Linked DNA regions of Drosophila melanogaster. The protein of the gene in region 2 interacts with the protein of the main gene of each other region in a pairwise test. Each region holds a gene or a part of one and is shown on either strand. Other genes may lie near its edges.

The links.
Region 1: the proteins of CG10139 (region 2) and prc interact in a two-hybrid assay, tested with the Drosophila melanogaster proteins (one large-scale study listed by BioGRID).
Region 3: the proteins of CG10139 (region 2) and Hug interact in a two-hybrid assay, tested with the Drosophila melanogaster proteins (one large-scale study listed by BioGRID).

The regions. Positions count from the first base shown.
Region 1 is NT_037436.4:11,960,009-11,967,835, reverse strand, and holds the start of prc (pericardin), read left to right. Parts: upstream 1-1,704; 5' UTR 1,705-1,783; intron 1,784-2,594; 5' UTR 2,595-2,658; coding exon 2,659-2,730; intron 2,731-2,972; coding exon 2,973-3,031; intron 3,032-3,097; coding exon 3,098-3,201; intron 3,202-3,263; coding exon 3,264-3,428; intron 3,429-3,484; coding exon 3,485-6,787; intron 6,788-6,841; coding exon 6,842-7,382; intron 7,383-7,446; coding exon 7,447-7,572; intron 7,573-7,827. Other genes in the region: Muc68E (mucin 68E), read left to right, coding at 1-256.
Region 2 is NT_033778.4:14,643,165-14,646,656, forward strand, and holds CG10139 (uncharacterized protein), read left to right. Parts: upstream 1-2,105; 5' UTR 2,106-2,191; coding exon 2,192-2,392; intron 2,393-2,449; coding exon 2,450-2,923; 3' UTR 2,924-2,987; downstream 2,988-3,492.
Region 3 is NT_033777.3:12,524,558-12,529,639, forward strand, and holds Hug (hugin), read left to right. Parts: upstream 1-1,630; 5' UTR 1,631-1,798; coding exon 1,799-1,882; intron 1,883-3,193; coding exon 3,194-3,473; intron 3,474-4,018; coding exon 4,019-4,230; 3' UTR 4,231-4,519; downstream 4,520-5,082. UniProt on the Drosophila melanogaster protein: Probably has a role in larval molting.

The DNA.
Region 1 (7,827 bases), on a different chromosome or scaffold from region 2:
GCGCAAGTGTCCAGATCCGCTGTATTGGAACCCGGAGATAAAGTCATGTGATTGGTCCAATAAATATTGCACAAATCTTCGGGCGAGTCAATCGATTTCTTGCGCAGCGGGCATGAATTTTAACGTTTTTCAAAGCGATTGCTCCAAATATGTCAAGTGTTTTGGCCTGAGAGGTGTTGTAATGAGCTGTAATTCAGGACTTTACTGGAATCCCGTTAGTCAAGTTTGCGAAAAGTCCCGGCGATTCTGCACATAAGAGTAAGTCCAATTAAAGTAGACAAAATTTTAATAAATAACATGCGGACACTTTTTTTCAGGAGCAGTGCAACGGCATTATTCATTGGACAATATTTACCTAAGAAATGAATAAAAAGATTGCGAATTATTAAAAATTTATTTATACTGTGGAAATTACAAATCGATTAATTAAAGTTAGCAAAATTATTAATATAATGAAACAGAAACTGAATGTTAAATTCCTATTGTTGTATATAAAAAAAAAAAAACACATTCAATCGCATTTTTATTTCACTGGGGTTTTTTTTTTAGATGATCTAAATAGATATTTTTGGATGCATGCAAATTTATTTCAATAGACTGAGACACTTTGGTAATGAACTACCCTATTGTTATAGAAACAAAAGGTAGTCTCAAATTCATCTCAAGGTGTTACAAAAAATTGGTCTCAATATAAATTCTTATTACGATGTAATAAAAATTTCATAGCACTTTATTCCCATTAAAATTGGAAAACAAGGTTAAAGATATTTTTAAGTGCAATTGTATCTAGTAAAATAAGTAATGGGTACACTGTAGCCGGATTATTTGCTTTCCACAGTTCCTAGGCCTTTTTCGTAGATCTTATCAATCTAGGTTTCAATTAAAAATATTACTAGCCTTGAAACACACCCCATACAGACGATGGGTATTCAAAAATTGAAAATTTAATGCTTCAGTTCAATTTAACACATGGTTTCATAGAAGCTCTTAGCAGATAAGGGTATAAAGCCGAATTCAACATTGAATGGGGGCTGGTAGAGACTGCTCTATATATAGATATGACGATGGGTAGTCTAAACAGAAAGCGAAAGCAAATAGTTAGTCTCAAAGGTTATCTGATTAAATTACTTCCGCCAATTTTTGATTTGTAGAAATAAATAAGTGGCTTGGGAAATCCAAAGCCCAATCGATAAAGCCTTCGCCAGATGCAAAGAGAGCACATACAAGTCAAGTGAATGAGTGTGGGCAGGGACACACTTGAAATGTATCCAAGAGATACACAATTGCGTATCTTTATATGCTAATAAATGCCAGTACATTTCCCTAAAATGGGTCAAAAGAGTCCCCCATCCGTTGGCATAGACTACGATGTTGTAATGCCCATAGAAACTCATTTGTCGAGGGGGACGTCAACGCGCCGCCCCTTCCATCGGCAGGCCAAGCCAGACCAAGTGATCGATTGACACGATCAAAGCGCTGATACGTAATGGAATAGACACTCGAATGAATAGCACTGGCGACGAGCTCCCAGCTCGGGCTCCAAGTGCCCTGATCCGCCTCACAGATACCAGCACTCTGCGCTGGTGTGGATCCTACATAAATATTCATGCTGGCCAAATGCAAATGTATTGGAAATTGCTCGCCTTCAATGAATTTGAGTTCTGCTCAAGCTCTAGAGTTTTGATGCTCGTACAGGGCAGCGTTATTCGCAATCCAGCAGTTGTCGCGATCGGAAGCAAATCGGAAAATCTCCATTGGATTCCTAGAACACGCAGCCGAAAAAGTATGTGCCTAGGATGTGTGCCCTCGCAGCAAGGACATAGAGCAAAAACAGCTCTCAAATACAAGGGATTAGTGAAGAAATAAGATAACAAAACATCCTATTAATTGTGCATTACGAAACGGATTACAACTTGTAGAGTTTTATTTGATAAAATTTAAATGTGAATTTCTATATGCAGTGAAATTGAAATCAACCAAAATACAGGACCTTATATCATTAGTAAATGGTCAAAAAGAACAATAAGTGTGTAAATTATAATGTGTGCAAACTAAGAATCTTGTACTAATCGAATCATTGACAACATCTAAACACAATTATGTGAAGATTAAATTTTCTTCCCAAATTTATTAAATATTTCTATATTCAAATATAAATATGTACATTCTGTAACAATTCATATTCGCCAGGATAATCACACAATTATCCTTTCGAAGTGTAAAGTGCTTATGTGACTTTCTTGTATTTTTTACATATAAAAATCAAAATAAAGATGTGAAAAGCGAAAGATATCAAAAAGGATATGTACATATGTATGATTTCAGACTACAAATTCAAACACGTTTGTGTCAAGAACTAAAATTCGAAACTTACATTAATCAGCCTTAGCGATTACATCACTCGCAAGACTGAAATATAACTCAAGATCGATTGCCTTTTTTTTGGCATCTAATAGCACAGCGTGCGTGCTCATTTTAAAGAAAAGTGATAACCTCTGAAAGTGACGGACAAGAAACACAGAGAAGGAGTATAAACTAATAATAACACGCATCTATATGGTGTATTGATAATACAATTCAATTTCATCTTACAGTTTGCTGGTTGTGTTGCCGCGACGTCGACGCCTTTCAATTGGATTCAGGGTTTAATTTATTGAAATGTTGCCCTTTCGCTTGGGCCTGCTACTTGGCGCCGTGCTATTCGTGGCAAGCGCAAATGGAGCTGCCATCGTAAGTTTCCGAATTGTTAATGAATCTCCCCGAGAATTGTTGCTTCTCTGTGTGTGTTGAATGGAACTAGAGTAGTGTAATGTAAATGAACTCGGTTCGAAAAGTAGGCGATAAGACATAATTTGACCAAGGTCAGTTTCTTACAAGCAGCATCTAATCGGGCACACTTGCACAGACCCTTTGAATGAATAAAGATTAGACTGACATTAGCATTGAATTTAAATCGATGTATTAACTTTCAGGAAAATGAGGTTTCTAGTCTGAACGACTTGCAGCGGGAAAAGAGAAGCGGCAGAGGCTAGTAAGTAGTTGGTTAACAACTATTTTGGACCAGATGGGCTTACTTCCTTTCCATGTTTATCCGCAGTTCGAGGGGACAAACCCAGTCTCAGTACTTAAATTTCGGTAAGCCTGAGGAGGATGGAAAGGCTGAGGCAGAGGCTACCGAAAATGGATCTCGCTCCACTGTGTGTGAGTACGGGTCAGATGAGATTCATTAGCACTTTGTCCATTGACCTCTTGACCTCTTTCAGCTGGCACCCATGGAATGGGTCAGGCTCAGAGCCAGTTCTCATCAGGGGACTGCAATGGATGTTCTGGCTACCAAACGGATTACCCTTCTTCAGGCAGAATTCTTGATGCTAGTGGATCCGGAGGCATCGGTAGACCCGATTCCATTATAAGCTTACCCGGAGGTGGTAAGTCGTATATAATCAAAATGTATACAGTTTGATATATGTTGCTCTCCCTGAAGTTGGCGGACAAACCGGAGCTGGACAAGCCGGATACGGAAGCCAACTTGGAGTTGGCGCTCAGGCCGGTGCCGGACAACCCGGATACGGTGACCAACCTGGAGTTGGCACTCAACCTGGAGTCGGACAGCCCGGATACGGAAGCCAACCTGGTATTGGCGGACAGACTGGAGCCGGACAGCCCGGATACGGAAGCCAACCTGGTATTGGCGGACAGACTGGAGCCGGACAGCCCGGATATGGAAGCCAACCTGTGGTTGGAGCTCAGACCGGAACCGGACAACCCGGATACGGTGCTCAACCTGGAGTTGGCACTCAGACTGGAGCCGGACAGCCCGGATACGGAAGCCAACCTGGTATTGGCGGACAGACTGGAGCCAGACAGCCCGGATATGTAACCCAACCTGGAGTTGGAGCTCAGACCGGAATCGGACAACCCGGATACGGTGCCCAACCAGGTATTCTTGGACAGACTGGAGCCGGACAGCCCGGATACGGCAGCCAGCCTGGTATTGGCGGACAGACTGGAGCCGGACAGCCCGGATATGGAACCCAACCTGGAGTTGGAGCTCAGACCGGAACCGGACAACCCGGATACGGTGCCCAACCTGGAGTTGGCACTCAGACTGGAGCCGGACAGCCCGGATACGGCAGCCAGCCTGGTATTGGCGGACAGACTGGAGCCGGACAGCCCGGATATGGAACCCAACCTGGAGTTGGAGCTCAGACCGGAGCCGGACAACCCGGATACGGTGCCCAACCTGGTGTTGGCGCTCAGACTGGAGCCGGACAGCCCGGATACGGAAGCCAACCTGGTATTGGCGGACAGACTGGAGCCGGACAGCCCGGATACGGAAGCCAACCTGGTATTGGCGGACAAACTGGAGCCAGACAGCCCGGATATGGAAGCCAACCTGGGGTTGGAGCTCAGACCGGAGCCGGACAACCCGGATACGGTGCCCAACCTGGTGTTGGCGCTCAGACTGGAGCCGGACAGCCCGGATACGGAAGCCAACCTGGTATTGGCGGACAGACTGGAGCCGGACAGCCCGGATATGGAAGCCAACCTGGGGTTGGAGCTCAGACCGGAGCCGGACAACCCGGATACGGTGCCCAACCTGGAGTTGGCGCTCAGACTGGAGCCGGACAGCCCGGATACGGCAGCCAGCCTGGTATTGGCGGACAGACTGGAGCCGGACAGCCCGGATATGGAACCCAACCTGGAGTTGGAGCTCAGACCGGAACCGGACAACCCGGATACGGTGCCCAACCTGGAGTTGGCACTCAGACTGGAGCCGGACAGCCCGGATACGGAAGCCAACCTGGTATTGGCGGACAGACTGGAGCCGGACAGCCCGGATATGGAACCCAACCTGGAGTTGGAGCTCAGACCGGAACCGGACAACCCGGATACGGTGCCCAACCTGGAGTTGGCACTCAGACTGGAGCCGGACAGCCCGGATACGGAAGCCAACCCGGATATGGAACCCAACCTGGAGTTGGAGCTCAGACCGGAACCGGACAACCCGGATACGGTGCCCAACCTGGAGTTGGCGGACAGACTGGAGCCGGACAGCCCGGATATGGAACCCAACCTGGTATTGGTGGACAGACTGGAGCCGGACAGCCCGGATACGGCAGCCAGCCTGGTATTGGCGGACAGACCGGTGGCGGACAACCCGGATACGGAAGCCAAATTGGCGGACAGACTGGAGCTGGACAGCCCAGCTATGGAAGCCAACCTGGAGTTGGAGCTCAGAATGGAGCCGGACAACCCGGATACGGTACCCAACCTGTTATTGGTGGACAGACTGGAGCCGGACAACCTGGATATGGAGGTCAAACTGGAGTCGGTGGATCGCCTGGATTTTTAACTCAGCCAGGTATTGGGGGTATAAGCGGACCGATTGGAGGGAAACTCGGTGGCGGACAATCAGAAGCCGCAAAACCTGGATATTGGGCTCAACCTGGAATTGGCGGACCATCCAGATACGGCAGTCAACCTGGAATTGGTGATCAGACCGGAACCGGACAGTCAGGATACGGCGGGCAGCCTGGAATTAGCGGACAGACCGGAGGCGGACAACCAGGATACGGAGGACAGGCTACAATAAGCGGACTCCCTGGGTATGGCACTCAGCCAGGAATTGGAGCACTAACCGCTGTTCCTGGCGGACATTATGGATACGAAACTCAGCCTGGAATTGGTGGACAGACCGGAACCAACCAACCCGGATTCGGTGGTCAACCTGGAATTGGCGGACAGACTGGAGCCGGCCAACCTGGATATGGATTTATAGGTCAGCCTGGTATTGGAGGGCAAACAGGAACTAGTGGAAGGCAACCCGGTTACGGAACCCAACCAGGAATTGGCGGACAGACTGCAGCCGGACAGCCCGGATATGGAAGCCAAACCGGAGTTGGCGGACAGATCGGAGCCGGACAGCCCGGATATGGAAGCCAACCTGGAATTGGCGGACAGACTGGAGCCGGACAACCCGGATACGGTGCCCAACCAGGTTTTGGAGGACAACCCGGATACGGAAACCAACCTGGAGTTGGCGGACAGACTGGTGCCGGACAGCCCGGATATGGAAGCCAACCTGGAATTGGCGGACAGACCGGAGCCGGACAACCCGGATACGGTGCCCAACCAGGTTTTGGAGGACAACTCGGATACGGAAACCAACCTGGAGTTGGCGGACAGACTGGAGCCGGACAGCCCGGATATGGAAGCCAACCTGGAGTTGGCGGACAGACTGGAGCTGGACAACCCGGATACGGTGTCATACCTGGATTTGGAGGACAACCTGGAATAGGCGGACAGACCGCCGCTGGAAAGCCCGGATACGGTGGTCAACCTGGAATTGGTGGATCACCTGTGTATGGAACACAGCAAGGAACTGGAGGTCAATCAGGAATTAGCGGTGGCCAACCCGGGTACGGAACTCAACCTGGACAAACCGGAGCCGGGCAACCCGGATACGGAAGCTTACCTGGAACAGGTGGTCAGGCCACAGCTGGCCAACCCGGATACGGACCCGGATCTCAACCCGGAATTGGCGGACAGACAGTTGGTGGGCACGGTGGATACGGTAGCCAACCCGGAATCGGTGGAGCGCCAGTTTATGGAACACAGCCAGGAGGTGGCGGCCAAACTGGAGTCATTGGAGGGCAGCCCGGACAGATCGGAGACAGAGTAGGACAACCAGGATACGGAACCCAGACAGGACAAATTGGGGCACCAGGTCGATATACAGATGGAAGTCAAACTGTACCTGGTGCTGTTGGCACCGGTGGAGTTGGTAAGTAGCTATCAAGGCGGTGGAAAACAATGTTTTGAATTGCTCGTTTCCCAGTTGCTGCCGGTACCAGCGGAGCTGACGATGCCTTCTCCCAAGCCGAGTCATCAATTGGCGACGGACAAGCGTCGGCAAGTGCTCAGGGCAAGAAGAATGGAGGCACGGCCAAGACTCAGGTGTCGGGAACTTACAGCTCCGGCGGAACCTTTAGCGCCAGTGCAATGACGTCCGATGCTGATCGTGCGGCCAGTGCACAGGTTACCGGAAATGCTGATGGAGCCGTGAGTCAGTCTCAGGGATCGGGAGGTCCTGCCCAGTCGCAGGCCCAGGTACAGGTTGCCAAGGACGGCGGCACCAAGGCCTCGTCGCAGAGCGGTGGCATCATCCAACAGAGCCAGAGCGAGGTTCACGCCAATGACAAGGGCGGCCTGGCGGACGCCCAATCGAGCGGACCCGGACAAACCTCCTCCCAGGCCCAGATCGGTTTCCGACCCGGCCAGGAGGCCAATCCTATAGCAGCTAATGGTGGCGGCCAGGCATCGTCCTCATCTGGCACTCATTCCAGTCAGAGTAGCTCGCAGATTCACGGAACATCGAGGTAACATTGCTATAGGATTATTGATTATTGACTTTAGCCACTCATTATTGGTTTTGTATTTCAGCTTTGGTGTTTCTTACCATGGTGCTGCACAATCCGCGTCGGGAACCAAAGAGCAGGTTGCTACTTACAGGGAAGCAAACAGGGAACTCTTCAATACCATCAGTCAGTTTGGCAACAACGCAAATGCGTAAGTAATCGGAAAAGTGAAGAAAGAAAGAAAAACATGTTTTGGGCTATTTAAAAAAAGGGATAACGTATGCTTCTGTGGTTTTTAAATTGGCAAAATATGTTCAAAATTGATTTCGAAAAGTCACACACTTTAGCTCAATCAATTTATTGTGATTTTATAACTGCCATGCCTTTATGGAATTCTTTAGCATAAAACGTATTCATTTTTGTATACTTTTTGAGGTTATTTATGTTGGATACATAAACGAATAAA
Region 2 (3,492 bases):
AAAACCAATTTATATTTATGAAATTTCGTAAATTGGCAATGTCATAAAACGCACACACTCACGCAGACTTCCAGGCACTTGTGCCCTCAGGTCGTATTCGCAACATTTCCCATTTAGCGTGACATGCTTTCCCTTCTCCATTTCCCATTTTCCGCTCACCCATTCCAAAAGCCCCGGCATTTCGCATTTCGCATTTCCCAGTTGCCATTTGTGGCCCGCTGCCCTGTTATGTGGTAATTAAAATGACTCTTGGCCCATCTCCGACGCGTTTTTGGACAGCTTTTTACTGCCACTCAGCCGATGCGTCGTATATGCGTAATGTCTGGCTAAATTATTAATTTACTATGGCCCCGAACGAGTGTTGTTAATTAATTTGTATGCAAATGCCGGAAAATCGAGACTGGGTGGTGCTTGAGCCGGAACGAGTGGCTGATCCGCTTCAATGAATCGCTTCAAATGCTGACCAGCAAATCCCATTACCATTGAGTGGATGACGATGGTTGTGGTTTATTAATTGATACGAAATAATTATGGTTAGGTAGGTGAGAAGTTGGTCTGAAATGATCTGCGGATGGTTTTTATCTATTTGTTTGTCTCGCGACTTCATTGTGGACGGCAGTCCACTTAGTGACGAAGGGCACCAGTTAAATGTCTCTGCTGGTGACTCACGTTTTCATCTCTTGTAGGTTTATTACAATCCCAAACCTTCGAAGCTAATATTTTCAACATCCTGAATGCAAGGTGCACACTAAGCTGTACTGCGGTTAGTCTGTACGCTTTTACCTTTGCTGGATTGTTTGCACTGCGGCAACGGGGCGTGTGATTAATTTTAGCCGGAATAGCCGACAAAAACCCTTTCATTCATTCCGCTCCTTTGTCACAATAAAATTGGGGAGAAGGGTAGGGCAAACAAGAGCATATAATAAAAACAGTAAACATTTAATTGCCTGACAAATATTTGCCCTTCGCCCCAGCACCAAAAAAGGGGTTTAGGGCCAAGTTTCGAGAGCTCGACAAATAGGCGCTGATGAAAAACTTTAATAGTAAAACTTCCCCATTCGGCTTATGCTTTCATTTCTCCTTCTTCTTCTCCCATTTCTCCGCCTTTTCCCCCCAACTTTTCTCTTATGCATTATCGGCATACGCTGCTCATATAACTTTGCTCGTCGGCTGCCGTTGAAAGTTTTGCGCAGCTTGACAAAATTTTCAGAGCTATGCGATGGTCGCTATATATGCAAAAATCTTAAGCGAAGTATCGATTTTGCCGCCGGCTAAAAATTATTTACAAACGAATGAACTTTTAAAGGAGCCAACTCCAATTGAGTGGGTTGTCTGCGGTTCAGTTTTGTTTGTCTGCCAGCTCGAGAGTCCTTTGCCAATGCCCGGAAGCCCTACTACAAAGGACATCGCATGGCGGGTGAATTCTCCCTAATAAAATAAAAAAAAGGCACACAATATTTGGTAGGAATTGAAAGAATGCAAAATGAAAAAAAAATGGTTCAAAAAACCGGTGTCCCGTATTCTTAAATTTTTGTATAAAATTAAGATTATAAAGATTATTCGATTATTTTGATTTTTTAACTATACTACTACTTGAATTAAATTATTCAAAAAAACATTTGATCGCGGCTTATCGATAAGCTGATTACTGTGCTATCGATAGGTCATGATCAGTAAGTAGCTGCACACGATAGCAAGAATTCATCTAGAGATGACAATGTGGCCAGATCAGCTAATTTATTGGTAATATCTAGCTAAATTCGAGCCATTAGATAAATTTAATATTCGCCTGTTCACTAAAAATATTCCTAATATATTAGTGAAATAAAACAAAACAAAAAATGTACCAATATATATATCAAATTAATAATGCAATTAATAATTATTATATTGTATATAATAAAATTGTAAATAAATATCGTACTCATGCTATTATTGAACCTGGCTATCTATAAGCGTCACGAAAAGCACACAGGCGCACTGTGGCGTTTTAGCTTTTTTAAAGCTTTCTTCGCCCTGCGTAAGACAGCTTTTTTTCTGTACAGCTAGAAACAGCTTTTTTGCTGCCAGCAAACTGGCAACACTGGCGGCAGGCGTCACTACTCTCATTGTTATTGTCATCACTATTGCATTGACATTGTTGCTGTACGTCGTGTTTTAATTAATTTCCATTGCGCTTTTTTGTCGAATTATGAAAATTTACAAGCAGAAACTGCGCGATGTGTGGCTGCAAATGGAGGAGTTTCGTGCGTGGCTGCGGCGTGATCCGGACGACTCCTACCGGGCGCACTGCCGCTTCTGCAAATGCTGCGTAAACACCAAAATAAGCGATCTGCGTGCACATGCGTCGACCAAGAAGCATATGAAGCACTTAAACCTTAAACAGCAAATCGTAAGTGTGCACAGTTTGTCATCAATCCCGCCTAATTTGGATCTATCACCTTTCCAGAAAACCACAGACGACAGCCCCTTAAACAGGTCATCCGCCAGCAGCTCCAGCACCACTCCCTACAAGGTCAAGGTGAAGTCGCAGCCAAAAACTTCCCCGGTAAAAAAGGAAAAAATCAGTGCATCGGATCAGTCCGTCGACTACGAGGAAATCATTGAGAACCTGGCACTTTACGAACCAGAGCAGGTCATGTTCTCATCGTGCTCCCTGACCGGCGGCGGCGAGCAAAGGCTAGAGGACGACGTTGAAGGCGAGGGCGAGATGTCCACCATCAGCATTATGGACGAGGAAATGGTCAACAAGGCAGTGGCCAATGCTCTGCGCACCCAGAAGGACAGCTCCCAGATCTTCGGAGACTTTGTGGCCGACCGGCTACGACAGTTGAACACCGACGCCTCCGAGTTTGCCAAGGACAAGATAATGAAGGTGATATTGGAGGCAGCGTCCATCGATCGGGCTCCCACTTATAATTAAAATATTAGTTTTTAGTATTGACTATAGTTTGAATAAAACATGAACTGTACAATTATGATTAATTAAATATGCAACATTTTTGCTAACCTGGGAGGCTTACTTCTATTCGAAATTTGTAAGGAAAAAAAATTGTAAATTTGTAAAAAAAAATCATTTTATTATTTAGTAAATTTTGGATACATTTTTATTATTACTTTGAAACACCTTAATTTTGTATTATTAGTAAATATTTTTAAAGAGAACCAACTGCACTATGTATAAATGGTTCTTCATTTTGAATAAAAATTTATTTCAGAACTTTTCGTTTTTAAAAAGTTCTATACAAAAAATGTAGTAAATTATTTTGAGATTATTAATTATAATTTTCAAAAAAATGTTGCACCATAGAACATGGATTTTTTTCGAAATTCATATCATGTATTTAACATAAAATATTTTGAAGGAAACTAAAGCAGGCGCAAAAGGGGGCACGCAGATAAATTGCTAAAACTTTTGCTCGGCAAGTTCATTGGCCATGCATTAGTTATTTAACAATTCAGCATTTTACCCTTTACGCTTTAAGCATTAAT
Region 3 (5,082 bases), on a different chromosome or scaffold from region 2:
CACACATATAATCTGTTGATAGATTGAAAGAGAAGAACTACAGTGCAAGGTAATCCCTCAGATACGGGTTTGTCAAATTACATTTTTCGCAACTTTATGGCATTGTTCGTTCCATTTTTTTTTTTTTCTTTTTTCGTCCGTCAAGGATACATTTTCAGCAGTTGGCAAATAGATAAATCCTTCAGGGCCTTGGCTGGAAAAGAGGTCGTCCCACGTACGTAGAGTTAGTAAATAAATAAATGCCAGCTGGGGGTCACCAGGTCGAGTTTGTGTGTGGGTCGTGTCCGGGTCATGTTTGTGTAAATTAGTGGCACAAATAAACACTCGACCAGTAGCTGCAACAGCTGCACGAATGACCATCACGACAGCATCCAGAAAAACACTCGATTGATGGATGGTTGATGTCTGACCAGGGACCAAGTTTAGATAATTGAAAATTCTCGTGATTTGCAGCCAACTGTTATTGAAGCCCGACCACGTGTGCGCAGCTTATGTCTTCCGGGGCGTATGAGAAATTTGATTTGCCAGCCTTCTTGACCCATTCTCGCTTGGCAGCCGACAATCGCAGTGCTCACAATCTGATTTTAAATGCCTGCTGACAGCTCAGTCAGTCAAAGGAGAAGCTTCTTGCCAGCGCAGGTGTGCAAGATGTGTTTGCCCAGCAAATTGAACCTAATGCGGCTCACGGATGGCATTTAAATAAGCCAGCTGCGAAGCTGTGGAGTTCCCCCAAGCCTTTTCCCATCCGCAGAACTGGCAAAACAGGCAAAAACAGGCCCCAAGCTACAGGATACAATGCGAAGACAACTGTCAACATTTAAATAAGATTGATCGATTGGCAGCGTCAACGGCATTGACATTGCCCCCATTGTGGTGGGTGTTGGGCCTAATGCCATCGCCATCGCCATCAGGGGCGTGATGGACTTTACACGCGCTCAGATTTCCATTAAACAGGATGCCCCACGATTACGCTGGATACACTTAAAAGAAAATAATTTGAGAATACCTGTGTCCCATTGCTAAGAGGGCATTTAATCCATATCCATTATTATTATGAATTATATGATTATTCAGAAGCTTTTTATATACGTCATAATAAAAGGGTTTGGTTTAATTTATTTATGTCATACTTTTGACAACCTATCAACTTATATTTAAATCTGCATCTGTGGGTTTATCAGTAAGCAAGCATTTAGCTCGTTTATTAAGCCGCTATAATAAAATATTTCGTGGCTTATCAACGAATACCTGCAACAGTCAGTTTAAATATCATCAGACTAAAGTGATAACCCGGAAATTGAGGTAAAGCCCATATAAAATTCGTATTAAAATGTATTTTTTGATTTTGTTGTAATTTTTCCCACTGCAGACTTTACAATTAGCTTCCCAATTTGAATGCCAGTCACTCATTGAATCCTATTTTTCACTTGCTCTGTGGGCGACAAATTGGTGGCGCTTCCGTTTGGGATTTGCCGCTTGATTCGCTTGTTTACGCTGACCAGCGGGCTGCCTTTTGGCCGGTATTAGAGTGCATAACAAATCACTTAGCACCCGTCCATCAGGGACCTAATCAGGCTCGCATGGGGCCGCTAGCATTTGGCTATATAACTTGCTATCTGCCGCGCTGCTGGCATCAGTTGTCCCGCAAAGCAGTCCCAAAGCGCAACGCGGTTCCATTCGATCGTCCGACTATTAAGTTAATAGTTCCAGCGCTTCCGGAGTGTCCTGTCCTGTCCTGGGAGGTCAGTCGCTCGTAAACGCCAGAAAACACCTAGCAGCGAACACAGTTGGCCCAGTTATGTGTGGTCCTAGTTATTGCACACTGCTGCTAATCGCGGCTTCCTGCTACATCCTTGTTTGCAGTCATGCGAAGTCCTTGCAGGTGAGTCTCGGGCAAAGTGGGAAAAATGTGGTGGTGTTGGTACTGTGGCTTGTTGGCCAAACAAGCGCCACTTAATTAGTGTTATTTGCCCAGGCACAAGTTCGCCAGCTTAGCGTGATAATTTTCAACCAGTGCTGAAATTCTTGGATTTTTGGAACGGAAATTTTGGGGCGAAAAGTTTTCACTTTGACGTGTGCCTTACAGCATTATGTGGCGCACTCGTTTCCCGTCTGTCAACTGCATTTGAAGTGCTACCAATTAGTTTGCAGATACTGCAACTATTTTTTTTTTCTGCCAGCAGGCAATCAATTGGCATCCAATTAACATTTCGGTTGCAATCGCAGCAACACTGCGTATACGTGTTGCGCAACTTATTCTCGCACCACTAATTAAAATAACTTTCCATGCTTGGCAGTGCAGATGTAATAAAACCTAGTAGGCCTTAATTAATCAAAAAGACATAATTATATCAAGTTTATGCATAGTTCATTGGGTTGGGAATTTGTGGTGTTGTATTTGGTTTTAGGTAAATTATATCGTTTGATATCGAATCCGCAAGTGTTTTGTATTAAATTCTGGACATTACAAAATGCTTAGTGTTATTACAATTCAAACTGTAACTATTATTAATTATTTAATTACAAACTTATTCTTTTTCGTTTATTGTCAGGGAATATTATACGAATATGTTTCATAATATTTTTATTTAAACGGGGAAACTAAAAGAAACTAAAGAAATAACCAATAAATTCACGACAGCTACAACATTGCTCTTTTTCATATCAGCTTAGAATATTGCAAAATATATCGACTGTGCTGAGTGTATTCGAAAATGCTGAGCCAAATGAAGGTTTAATATCAAGTATACGCCCACGCAGACATCCGCTTAGAGTGAGCGTTTATTGGCGAATTGCGATTTACAAGCCGATTTCAGGTGTTGGCATTTCAATCTACATTGAGTTGTCTAATCAAGCGGCACACGCTGATCTGCCTTCCATGCCTGGGTGTAAATTGAAACAATAAAGTGCTTGACTCGCACATTCACACTCACATCCATAGACACCCACACGCACACATACAGGCACACCCGCAAGTCGGTTGGAAGGACCTTTATGCGTGTGTGCAGCTCACGTACGAGTATGAGCATAAATAGGCGGCATAAAAATAACTTAACACGTGTCGACAGTTTGGCAGCGTGGGAACCCTCAGTAAAAAAAAACAACATCCTCCAAGGAAATATCTCAAATATTTAGCTCCTTTTTTCGCCTGCTTTTTTGGCCCCTGCTTTTATGGCATTTTTTATTTGTGCAGGGCACGAGCAAACTGGATTTGGGAAATCACATCAGCGCCGGCTCTGCCAGAGGATCATTATCACCAGCTTCACCAGCGTTGAGCGAGGCACGTCAAAAGCGCGCCATGGGCGACTACAAAGAGCTGACAGACATCATTGACGAGCTGGAGGAGAATAGCCTGGCCCAGAAGGCCAGTGCCACCATGCAGGTGGCTGCCATGCCGCCGCAGGGCCAGGAATTCGATTTGGACACCATGCCGCCACTGACCTATTACCTGCTCCTTCAAAAGCTACGACAGCGTAAGTTGCCTATGGACACCTGCTGAAATGTGAAGGATATATGTATGAAGAGGGCAAGTCGCTCTAATTGGTTTCCGAATCACGTTCCCATTTCACGCAACCATCTCCATAATGTTCGCATACTTTATACATAAGCTTTTCCTCATTTTTTGCAGAGAGAAAAACATAATATGAAAATGTTATTTTCATTTAATATGCATGTCGTTTCTTTACTTCACAAGACATTGGCATATTTAAATGAATATTTTATATTCAGAAAAAAAAGAACAATCTCCATACGTAATGACAATACCGTACAAAAGTCCGAGAAATCTGCAATTTTTACTAGAAAAATTCCTTCACAGTGACTTAGGCAATGTTCAATGTTTTTCAAATTGAGTTAACCATTCATTCATTTATGTTATTCAATCATGGAAACTATTACTTATCCAAAGAATGTTGGATACATTTGAACAAAATTGTTTGAAAATTTCGCATTCATTTTTTCCTTATCAAAATGCTTATACATATATTATGAAATACTCTCCCTATTTCCATTTGGACAGTGCAGAGTAATGGGGAGCCCGCTTATCGCGTGCGGACGCCACGCCTTGGCCGCAGCATTGACTCCTGGCGACTACTGGACGCGGAGGGGGCGACGGGAATGGCGGGCGGCGAGGAGGCCATCGGCGGGCAGTTCATGCAGCGCATGGTTAAGAAATCGGTGCCGTTCAAGCCACGCCTGGGCAAACGTGCTCAAGTGTGCGGTGGCGATTGAGTCACGACAAGGGCGCGAGGACATGGCACGGCACGGAATCGGACTGCGGATGGAGGACGGAGGACGAGCCCAGGACAAGGTTGAGGCCAGGCGACTGGCCCTTGAGTTAACATAACCAAGCCATAATGGCCAGCTGAATTCGACGCGACGCAAAAATAATCCACATATATGCATAGTGAATGACTACTCTACTAGTTACTAGCGCTATAACCCTGATTTGAGAGGAACTAATGATGTGTATATACCGTACATATATTTATTATTTATTTAAATAAATTGTGTAGCCCCCAAAAGTAGCGTTGATTTTACATTCCAAATGAGCCGGGAATTAAATAAACATGGCAATTTCATTAACGACCTGCGCTTCCTAGGGTTCTATGTCCACTATACACTATATTGCCATTTTCCAGTTAAATTTATGAGAATTTCATAACCAATGGTAGGGCGCGTAAATTGGAAAAATGCGGCCAACATCCGTTGCCACAAAATCGCCCATGAGTGTTGACCATGGCAACTGCCGTTTGCAGTTGGCCCATGTGTGTGCATTTTGACTGATAAAATATCTTGGTTCCCTTGCCGCGCCCTTTCAAAAACCCAGTGCCACAATTGTGGTCCGGTCAAAAGCTTCTGGCTTTATTTGGCCTGATGAAGCATAGAAAATTGTGCGGGGCTTGCAATGAATGCGGAAACGGAAACATTTTATGAATGCTTTTTCAGTGGAGAACTTTAATTTAAAGTATCCATGTTCTGAGGCTTTTATCAAAAGTAACTACCTCTTTATTTTACTTCCATAAATGCAATAAATAATTCGATGCTGTGCATTGAAAACTGTAATCGTAATCAGGAGTGTAC